2 linked regions of the Schizosaccharomyces pombe genome follow. The gene in region 1 interacts genetically with each later gene. Each region holds a gene or a part of one and is shown on either strand. Other genes may lie near its edges.

Region 1 (3,656 bases):
CCAACTAAAATAGGTATCGTCTTGTTACCTCTTCCTTTGTAAGCATCGATGCAGATCTTCCGTAATAATTATTTTCCAAACCTGTCTGACTATTCTCTAAAAGTCTTACAGAGCACACCAATAGCTTCTATAAAACTATAAAAGTAAGTGTAAGTAAAATTTTTCTGCGTACACGACTCAAATTTTTTTTTTGGTTTTTTTGAAAAGTTTTCGACTTTTTATCTTCGGTTTAAACCATTGGTTCCTCGCCGACATAATTGATTTCGTCCCAAATTTTGGTTTTTCTAATTTATTGTACTCAATATGAGCTCAATCGATACGCCTGCTAATAAATTGCAAGCGAAAACCTTGTTTCACCCAGAACATCTCGAATACATCAACAAGCAGTTATCGGAGCTTAGTCCTCAAGATATCTTAAAATGGTGCCGTTGGACACTTCCTTCTTTGTTTCAAACATCTGCGTTAGGACTGTCCGGGCTTGTTATTATGGACATGTTATCGAAAATGGATATGAATGTTCCTCTGATTTTTATCAACACACTTCATCATTTCCCAGAAACACTGGATCTTCTTGAAAAAGTCAAAACTAAGTATCCTAACGTGCCTGTTCACGTCTATCGTTGTGCTGAAGCAGCCAACGAAAAGGAATTTGCTCAGAAGTTTGGTGAGAAGCTTTGGGAGACAGATGAATCTCGGTATGACTTTTTAGTCAAAGTGGAACCAGCAAGTCGTGCTTATTCTGACTTAAATGTACTTGCTGTGTTTACTGGCCGCCGCCGTAGTCAAGGTGGAGAGCGCGGATCTTTGCCCATTGTTCAGCTGGATGGACCAGTATTAAAGATCAACCCCTTGGCTAACTGGTCTTTTACTGAAGTTCATAATTATATTATTACAAACAACGTTCCATATAATGAACTTCTGAACAAGGGTTACAGATCAGTTGGTGACTGGCACTCTACTCAACCAGTTAGAGAAGGTGAAGATGAACGTGCCGGACGTTGGCGCGGTCGAGAGAAAACAGAATGTGGATTACACAGTCATCCTCAAAGTAAATTCGCACAATATATGGCGGAGCTTAAAAAGAAGGAGACGGCTGATCAGTGAAACAATCCTTTTGTGCAATGTTGTAAACTGCTTTTTTGTTATCGAAGTGCACCATATGAAAAAATACGGCATTTTTAAGTAGACAATTCAAGAGTTTCTCTTTGTTTTAGTTGGTCATTGTGAGAAGGTTTTCAGCATACATTCTTAGTAAATGGGTTAAATTATTATCGTGACGAAGAAGGTTAGGGATACACTATGAAGAAACTTCTCGGTGTTTACACCTATACAAATAGATATATTAGAAATAAGATGATTTAATTATCAAAAAATTGAAGTGGTTTATACGTTGAAATTTGAAGACCTAAAACCATATGAACTTACAATGCTTTCCTCCTTTTTTTTATTAAATATATAGAATAAACTATGTAGTATTGATCTACAAATTCATATATATATTTTTTAACAACAAAAATTGAGTCACCATTCAATTATTTTGTAATGTCACCTACTACTAACCGACTTATCGTAATTTATTATTGGTAAGTAGGCCTTACATATGTTTAGGAAAAAGAAATCCCGTGTACTCCAAAGGGACGTCAACTTTGGGAATTGTCTTGAAGACATGAATCTCCAAATTACCAACGATTTTTACTTGAGGAAGTTGAACGCGCCAAATGAGCTATATGAATTTCAAGTTACCAAAGATAAAGAGTACAACGAAAAATTCTATTTTGCTGTACTTGGTAGGGTAATCATTTAATTCAGGAGTTAACTTGCAATTGAAATTAGATCACGTTTACAGTTGGACTTTACAAAATTCCCTTCTAACACGAATATCTATACCATTGGAATCTTCACCGTCAGAACCACATAGTTGGATATATGCAACACGAAATTGGCAAACTAATGAAAATGGAATAGTTATAATTATACAGTCAATGTCGCACCCCTTAATCTGGTCAAATAGAAACTTGCGCGAAGGCGATGTGAGACGTGCAACTGTACTAGATGTAATAGCCAAATGCACAGAAAAGAAACTTTCAGTTGTAATATTTTCTCCCTCTGCGCTATTATGGGACCAAAGCATTAATTTCCCTAGGGTATGTGCAAATTTATTCAATAATGTTTACCAAAATTTAGACAACCCGTTATTTCACCTCTCAGGGACTTCAAATCACTAAAAAATCTATCATAAAAGGTAAGATTGATTCCTAATATCCAATGAAATTTTTAACAAAGAATAGACGTCGAGACTCCAGAGAGCTATGTGTCAATAGGGTTAAACTATGTAATGTCCAATTCAGTGAGCACTAAAATACACTTTGTGGGTTCTGAATATGGATCGTATTTGCTGAATTCTTACTTGGACTTGAATTGGAAGAAATTTTCTGGCAAAGCGGGAGCTATACTTTTAATTATGAATATGAGCATTAATGAAGAGCTTCATGACCCCGACTATGTTAGCTACCTGATAGAAGTGAGAAAATAATCTTTTCAAATGGAAATAAATAATAACTAAGACTTTCAGCATGCACGAAATTATCTCCCTTCACATGAGCCTTGTCGACATTTAATGAATAGCATAATGACCGAAAGCGGCATACCTAACTTTTCAGCAGGTATGGAAACCTTGACTTAGAACAAAATTTTAACAAGTTAGGAAAATATATCGATGAATTCTATGACTACATTGGCGATGTTTTGCTTGAGATGATTGCTCTCGACACTAATACAAGTAAAAGCTGAAGACAGAGAACAAAATAGTTAACGATAAAAAATTAATTCAACATATTTAATAAAATTTTCCAATGAGATTATAACAAAAGGGCTACAACAATTAGAACCCCGTTGCTACAAAAGTGTAATTATTCCAATCCCTTATAATTTTATTCAAATTTTTAACCTAACAAAAAAAGTTACTTTTGCAGGTATTTTTCCCATAACGCTTGATGAATTTGCTTTAATTCATAAAATAATCTTTTTGCTTCCTTGAGCTGCATTTCACTGGTTTCAGCTTTGGCACGCCAACTGGACTCTGAGCCTTGTGTCTAAAAATTATGTTAGTTCAAAATCTTTAAGAAGTGGACATACGACAATATCAGAGCTGATTTTGAGAATATTTTCCGGTTGCATCAGCTGCTCTACCCCATCATCTTGAATGCAAATTCGAACATCTGAATTTAAGTACTCATTTGTAATCATGCGCTTTAAAACTGGAAAAGAAAGTGAAGAGTTTGAATAAAATGATATCTTGTCGACCTTGCATTGAAGAAAAGAGACCGGCGAATAATACTGAACGAGGCGGCGCAAAACTTGTCGAGAAACACTATCCCAAACCAAAACATTACCATCCTTATCACCACTAATGAGTAGAGAAGCATCAAAGGAAACAGTCAACGTGGTTATTGGGGATTGACACGATATAATACTTGATTCTCTACTGTCGTTATAATCTACAACTCGACCCATACCTCCGATGGCGTTTGGAATAGTAGTATTATCAACAGACGTAACTCTTTTTTTCTCTTTAACGTTGTTAGAAAAAGTGGATGATCCTGTGTATAATGGAATCCATATTATTCCCTTTTCGTTACCAACGTAGACAACACGTT
Region 2 (6,198 bases), on another chromosome or scaffold:
TGCTGCTTTTTGAGTGAGAAATTAAGACATTATTGACCGCGTCGACTATACACTTAGTTTTGTAATGAGGTGGATGGCGCACCTGTGTATTTTCAAGCAAAGGAATCAAAACTTGCAAATATGCATACCGAAGATCCGAAAGCTCATCGGGAATATTGTTTATTTCGCGTATGAATATATCAATTAGGACATTGAGATCATTGGTATAGAATATCTCATACGTAGCGGGAGTTGTAAAAAGAAGGAATAGTTGTTTTAGTATTAACATTCGAGAGCGTGGATCCTTTTCTCGATTTAGAGTGAAAACTAGGCCTTCACTGTAGATACCGTTATCCACTTTGGAAGAGCTCAGCAAATCCATTATGCCATTTGCGATTTCAAACGAACCTTTGGAAGCAAGCCGAACAAGCATAAACTGTTCATTGATGCTAAGCAATGTCAAGACGCACATTCCAAAACTGTCCATGTCCTCATCATTCCAAGCTTCTTCCGACGTTTTGAATAGGTTTACTAAAAAATATTCATCAATTGCGACTAAGTCGGTCGGTGAAAGTCGTCTCGAGCGACAAATATAGTACACTAAGAATAAAGCATAACGAAAAGATGTAAAAGCAACATTTTCTGAACGATCCTTGAACTGTTTCATTGCCTTGATCAAGACGGGAATGAACCCCGTAGAAGCCAACAAACGCAAGCAGTACTCATTCTCTTGAATTTCGGATTGAAAGACAATGATTATGAATTTCAAAGTTTGTTGTTCTTTCAAGAAAAAAAAGCAATCATAGAAAATACTTAAAACGGCGTTTTCGTCTAGTTGATAAAGCGGACTATTGAGGAACTTTTCCATACATCTCTGCAATTGGAATTCTGTAATTAGGTACGGTTCTATTGAATTTATTTTGTTAGATAAGATGTTCTATAAAGAGACAAACACTCAATTTCTTTGTATTTCATCCATAGGAAAAACACGGAAAATTGTGCTTCCCCAATTCTCCAAAACATTACCTCCATATTTGTTGATAAAAGAAAGAAACTTTGAAACACCAATTTCCAGTTCATTTTTTTCGTATGGTATAGTTAAAAGTTCGTCAATTTCTGTCACCAAATGTTAGCGTCAACGGGAATACTATTTAGCCAGGATAATGAATCCCAGGCACATTCAAGTTTACAATTATGAATAAATTGCATACCCGCCAAAAATTGCTTTTCATTCTCTAAATTATAAAACACATCCGTGAACTCCATGTGGAGGTTAGGGAAGGTTTAATTGCCGCTTTCTCATTATCGAGCCTAGTATTCAATAGACAAAATTCTCGCTAATATCCATCGATAATCAACTTTAATATATGATTAGTAGTCAACACAACAGAGCGTCAATGTTATACCATGAAAACAGTATTGTAGTATTATAGTATACAAATGCATCTGGTTCCCTTTTGGCCATATGTTAAGGTATAAAATATAGTGGAGACACAAATTCAAAAATTCTCAATTATCCTCAATTGAAGAGGCTATAATTTAATTAACGGAGAAAAAACTTAGTTTCTATAGTTAAGAATATCTTGCAACAGTTTCAATCGCGGCAGTCTATTTTACAAGGAATTTACACTGGATTCTCACAAATCCAACTTGCCCATAAGTACACTACCACCAAATAAGTAAAAGGATAAAAACTACCCATCACTAGATTTCATTTTATCGGTTTCTTTATATTTAATCTCTTTAAAGCAAGCATTCCTTATTCTGTGTTGGTTTATTGAAGAAAAGTCGTAGTTTGCTTAAAAAATATTCTGTTATCATGCCTCGTCTTCGAACGTCAAGAACCAAGCGGTATGTATACCAAGTATTTTCCTTGTTACCTTTATTTTTACCTACGAAGTAAGATTCTAATTAGCTATAGCCCTCCTGACGGATTTGATGAAATAGAACCCACCCTTATTGAATTCCAAGATCGTATGCGTCAAATTGAGAATACAATGGGAAAGGGAACTAAGACGGAAATGCTAGCACCGATTTTTCAACTTCATCATCAGCGCAGTCGTTATATATACGATTTATACTACAAACGGGAAGCCATATCTACCGAACTTTACAACTGGCTGCTAAAACAAAATTATGCCGATGGAAATTTAATCGCCAAATGGAAAAAACCAGGATACGAGAAACTTTGTTGTCTGCGCTGTATTCAAACCGCTGAGTCAAAATTTGGTTCAACGTGTATATGTCGTGTACCTAAATCAAAACTTGATAAAGATCAACGTGTGAGATGTACTCATTGTGGTAAGTAAAGAAGTGCTATTGCTACCAGTTGCTAATGAAAATAGGTTGTAATGGTTGTGCAAGCTGTGATTAATTGGAAAACTAGTGGTTCGTTTCCCATTTATATCTTTTTATTTGGTTATTATGGCAAATGAAACAGTTTTGGGTTATAAAATTCATTGATCTATGGCTTTTCCTCGTTTTAGTAAAAAATTATTTTATTCATAAAATGCGCTTCCAAAAAACATGTACCTTGGTTGAATTCTTTCAATTAGTACCTTGCTCACATTCTTCATGAGGAAACCTCATTTGTGGATACCCTGGATTGTAGCCAGTTGTTGGAATTGATTTGCTGTGCGAATGAGCCGATGACTTTTTGAAATTGGTCCATCATTTGTTGCTGAGTCATTTCTGGTTTGACGTTGCTACGCCATTGTCTCATTATATCACGTACAATTGCCATACCTTCTTTTTTAGATTTCACTTCTTGAGTATCCCCTTGGGCTCCAGAGTCTTCAGCTTCTAATTCTGCGGCTTTGTTGCTTGCCATTTCAATAATCTTGGGAGGGAAGTGCGCAAGTTTAGCAACATGGATTCCAAAACTCCGATCACTAGCTCCTTCACAAACATTATAGAGTAAAGCTACATCCTTCGATTCTGAATCACCTACATAGGCTGTAACATGCAAATTTTTGACAGTAGTGATTTCTTCTGATAGTTTGGTCATTTCATGATAATGTGTTGCGAAAAGGCAAAAGCAACCGATTTGAGTCACGATGTGTTCTGTAATAGCCCACGCTAATCCAAAACCATCGGTTGTGCTAGTCCCTCGTCCTAATTCATCAATGATGATTAAGGATCGCGGTGTGGCAGCTCTCAAAATCGTAGCGGTCTCCAACATTTCGGCCATGAAAGTAGAAATGCCTTTAAGCTGTGAGTCGCTGGCTCCGACACGTGCAAGGATAGCATCAATAATATCTAGATCAGCCACTTCACAAGGCACTGGACAACCAATCTGTGCCATGACGGTAATAACTCCAACTTGACGGATATACGTTGATTTTCCACCCATATTTGGTCCGGTTATGATTAATAGCTCTGAACTTCCATGCTCAAGATTAACATCATTGGGTATGAACTTCACATCGTCCTGAGCTTCCAAACAAGGATGTCGCGCTTGTTTTAGGTAGAGACGAGCACAATGATTATTTTCTAGAGTTCTTCGTATTTCTTCAAAATTAGGAGTATCTTCTAATGAAACAATGTCCAAAATATTGCTACTTTGTCCATGCTTTTCTTGTGCAATGCTTGAATCCACAATATTTGGTCTTACATAAGGTATTACAGCTACCGTACTTGCATGTGCGAAACTTAGAATCACGTCCAAATGAGCAATTACTTGGCCAATCGCCTCCAAAGGAGGACCGTATGTTGCAGCTATCTTTATAACTTCACGTGCAAGCCCATTTTGGTGGTACCGGTAGCTTTTTTGGTGATCCATATAAGAATTGTTTAGTGAATGAAGACGTTTAGTGGTAAAGTAGACTCCATTTTTTTGAGTTGATAATTCTGTATAATGAGAACTACGGCCTCTTAAACAGCCAGCTTCTGTTCTAGTAAGGCGTAGACACCATCCATAGAGGTGATGTTGCTCAAGATGTAATTTTTTCTCGGTATCTTGGTGGAGATCTGAACCGACCCTTTTATGTTCTTCAAAGATAGAATGCTGTAATTCGTCTAATCGTTGACGCAAATCTAATAGCTCCTCATCAAACTCTGCACGGATAATATACTGATGTGAATCCAATGCTTCCAAGTCGATGGTGGTTTCAACAAGCTCTATTAATTTTTCCAAGTTTTTGCAATGATTGTTAAGGACGTTCGTGTATACTTTATCCACCAAATCTTTATGTTCACTAGTCAAAGAGTCAAGTACCGTAACGATCTTCGGAAGTGCCTTTGCCATTTGATAAATACGTACAACATCTTCTAGACTAGCTGATCCACGAGTTAAACGCCTGCATAGTTTAGGAATATCTGGAATTGAACGAAGAAGATGATCATCATCAAGCAATAACTGGCGTGCCTCAGCATCTTCCACAAGTGCGGAGACCAAGTCATGTCTTCGTTCAATTGATTTTGCATCCAAAAGTGGCTGAACAATCCATCTTCTTAAATTCCTTGCTCCCATCGCAGTTCTACAATGATTAAGTAAACCATAAAGACTCATTGTTTTATGAGCATTACCATTGGGAGGAGGAAGTAGGTTAAGAGAACGAACTGCTGCAATATCTAATCGCATGTATTGTTCCAAGTTGTGATGATACAGATGGAGCTTTCGAGATGTGTTTTCACGGTCGTCTTCCATGTCAGGGTTTAGTAACGCAGGTCCTAAATAGCGAAGCAATGCATTGCAGGATGCCATTGCTAATTGTAGACCTAGTTCTGGAACAAGAGCATGTGTAACTGGACTGTCGAGCACTTTTGAGAGCTCAAGTTCAACATCTCGAGCCGAAAATTCAGAGCTTCTTATAGTTGTAACTAATGCGCCACAACCTTCAATAATATTTCGAAGACGATTGATTTCTGCCGTGTTAATAGAAACGGCTGAATTGCCATTCGTCGATTCATGCCCAGATTGCGATATTATGCACTCTTTCGCTCCAACTTGCACTATGAGAGCTTCAAAGTTCGTATAAGCATCTGAGTCAACAAATTCTGAAACACCTAATTTTTTTAAAATTGGATCTATAAAAGCAACGCCAATTATTCGCTGATCTTGTTTAACCCTAGTAGTAACAGCCAACAAAACCGAACTAACTGAGCTATCACTAATGGCTGTGGATTCTTGATAATTCTCACTAACAAGCAAATCTTCCAGCATTTGCATATTTCCAGGACTAGCTTGCTTCAACAATTCAAATCCTGTCTTTGCGGAATTGGCTCCCCAAATTTCAACTCTCTTTGCAAGGTTGCTTAAAACATCTTCCGCAAACTTAATAAATAGTGAAGGAGATAAGTTACAATAAGATGTATTAGACACATTGTGGTGTTTTAGCACCGAAGTAGTGTGATACGCGTTTTGAGCAACAAACGAAGCGTCTTCTCCTATTGCAACGTAAAATTCCTAGAAAACAGTGTTAGATTGGATTAAAAAATAATAATATTTCAAGTTATTTTTTACGAAGTTTAAGTAAATTTTTCTATTCATCAATACTTACCCCTCGATCAAATACACGCACTGTGTTTGTATCTTTAGGCATTTTTTCATAAAAATTAAACATCCTTGCCTCATCAGTTCTTTCTGTTTTAAAATATTAGTTCAAAGAAGTAACCCCTTGACAAACCATTAGCAATTGAAGCGTTTCTAGAAGACATATTGATTGAATGTTCTAAAGCGCGAACGCGAAATGTATAAAACAGGAGAAGAAACTCCTTGCCACAGTTAAGTCCTCAAAAAGGATAAATAAAAAACCTCAAAAAAAGGAATAGATTTAAAGAATGTTAAATAACGAAGGACCGACGTCGAAAGTAACACAGTGGGAGATTGGTAGCTGCCAAAGTTATATGACACAGAACTAGTCAAACATACTAAAAAATTCATCTAAGCTAATAAATTGAATCTTAAAAATTAATCTATTTAATTAAATGCCTTGTTGTTTAAGTATTTCAACTTTGCATTCGAACTATTAAACACCAATAAATTATATTATAGTGTTTACAAAATTTATCATATGCAAATATTTAAAATGGCTGTTTTGTTAATTTAGTAATAGTAGTAATGGCATGGATTCGACTTCATTTTAAAAAAATAAATAAATAAATAAAAACCAACGAGGTGTCCAATTTTCTAAGTGTGCTACTCATAAGTTCTCTCTTCTGTTGATATTTTTTCGAAGTTTCTCCACTACTATACAACTTACACACAATATACTGTGC

What was found.
Region 2: of arb2 (region 1) and cwf14, extra expression of one rescues a mutant of the other (dosage rescue), as found in Schizosaccharomyces pombe (one study listed by BioGRID).

What each region holds. Positions count from the first base shown.
Region 1 is NC_003424.3:2,307,426-2,311,081, forward strand, and holds arb2 (argonaute binding protein 2), read left to right. Parts: upstream 1-1,557; 5' UTR 1,558-1,600; coding exon 1,601-1,787; exon of another isoform or gene 1,788-1,833; coding exon 1,834-2,144; exon of another isoform or gene 2,145-2,184; coding exon 2,185-2,242; exon of another isoform or gene 2,243-2,288; coding exon 2,289-2,521; intron 2,522-2,572; coding exon 2,573-2,663; intron 2,664-2,704; coding exon 2,705-2,790; 3' UTR 2,791-2,869; downstream 2,870-3,656. Other genes in the region: met16 (phosphoadenosine phosphosulfate reductase), read left to right, coding at 304-1,104; rixosome complex WD repeat subunit Crb3, read right to left, coding at 2,961-3,092, 3,136-3,656.
Region 2 is NC_003423.3:2,341,906-2,348,103, forward strand, and holds cwf14 (G10 protein), read left to right. Parts: upstream 1-1,635; 5' UTR 1,636-1,798; coding exon 1,799-1,830; exon of another isoform or gene 1,831-1,900; coding exon 1,901-2,280; exon of another isoform or gene 2,281-2,324; coding exon 2,325-2,353; 3' UTR 2,354-2,551; coding exon of another isoform or gene 2,552-5,386; 3' UTR 5,387-5,395; downstream 5,396-6,198. Other genes in the region: endocytosis protein Dip1, read right to left, coding at 1-885, 1,006-1,095, 1,191-1,245; msh2 (DNA mismatch repair protein), read right to left, coding at 2,552-5,386, 5,481-5,563, 5,607-5,637. UniProt on the Schizosaccharomyces pombe protein: Involved in mRNA splicing where it associates with cdc5 and the other cwf proteins as part of the spliceosome.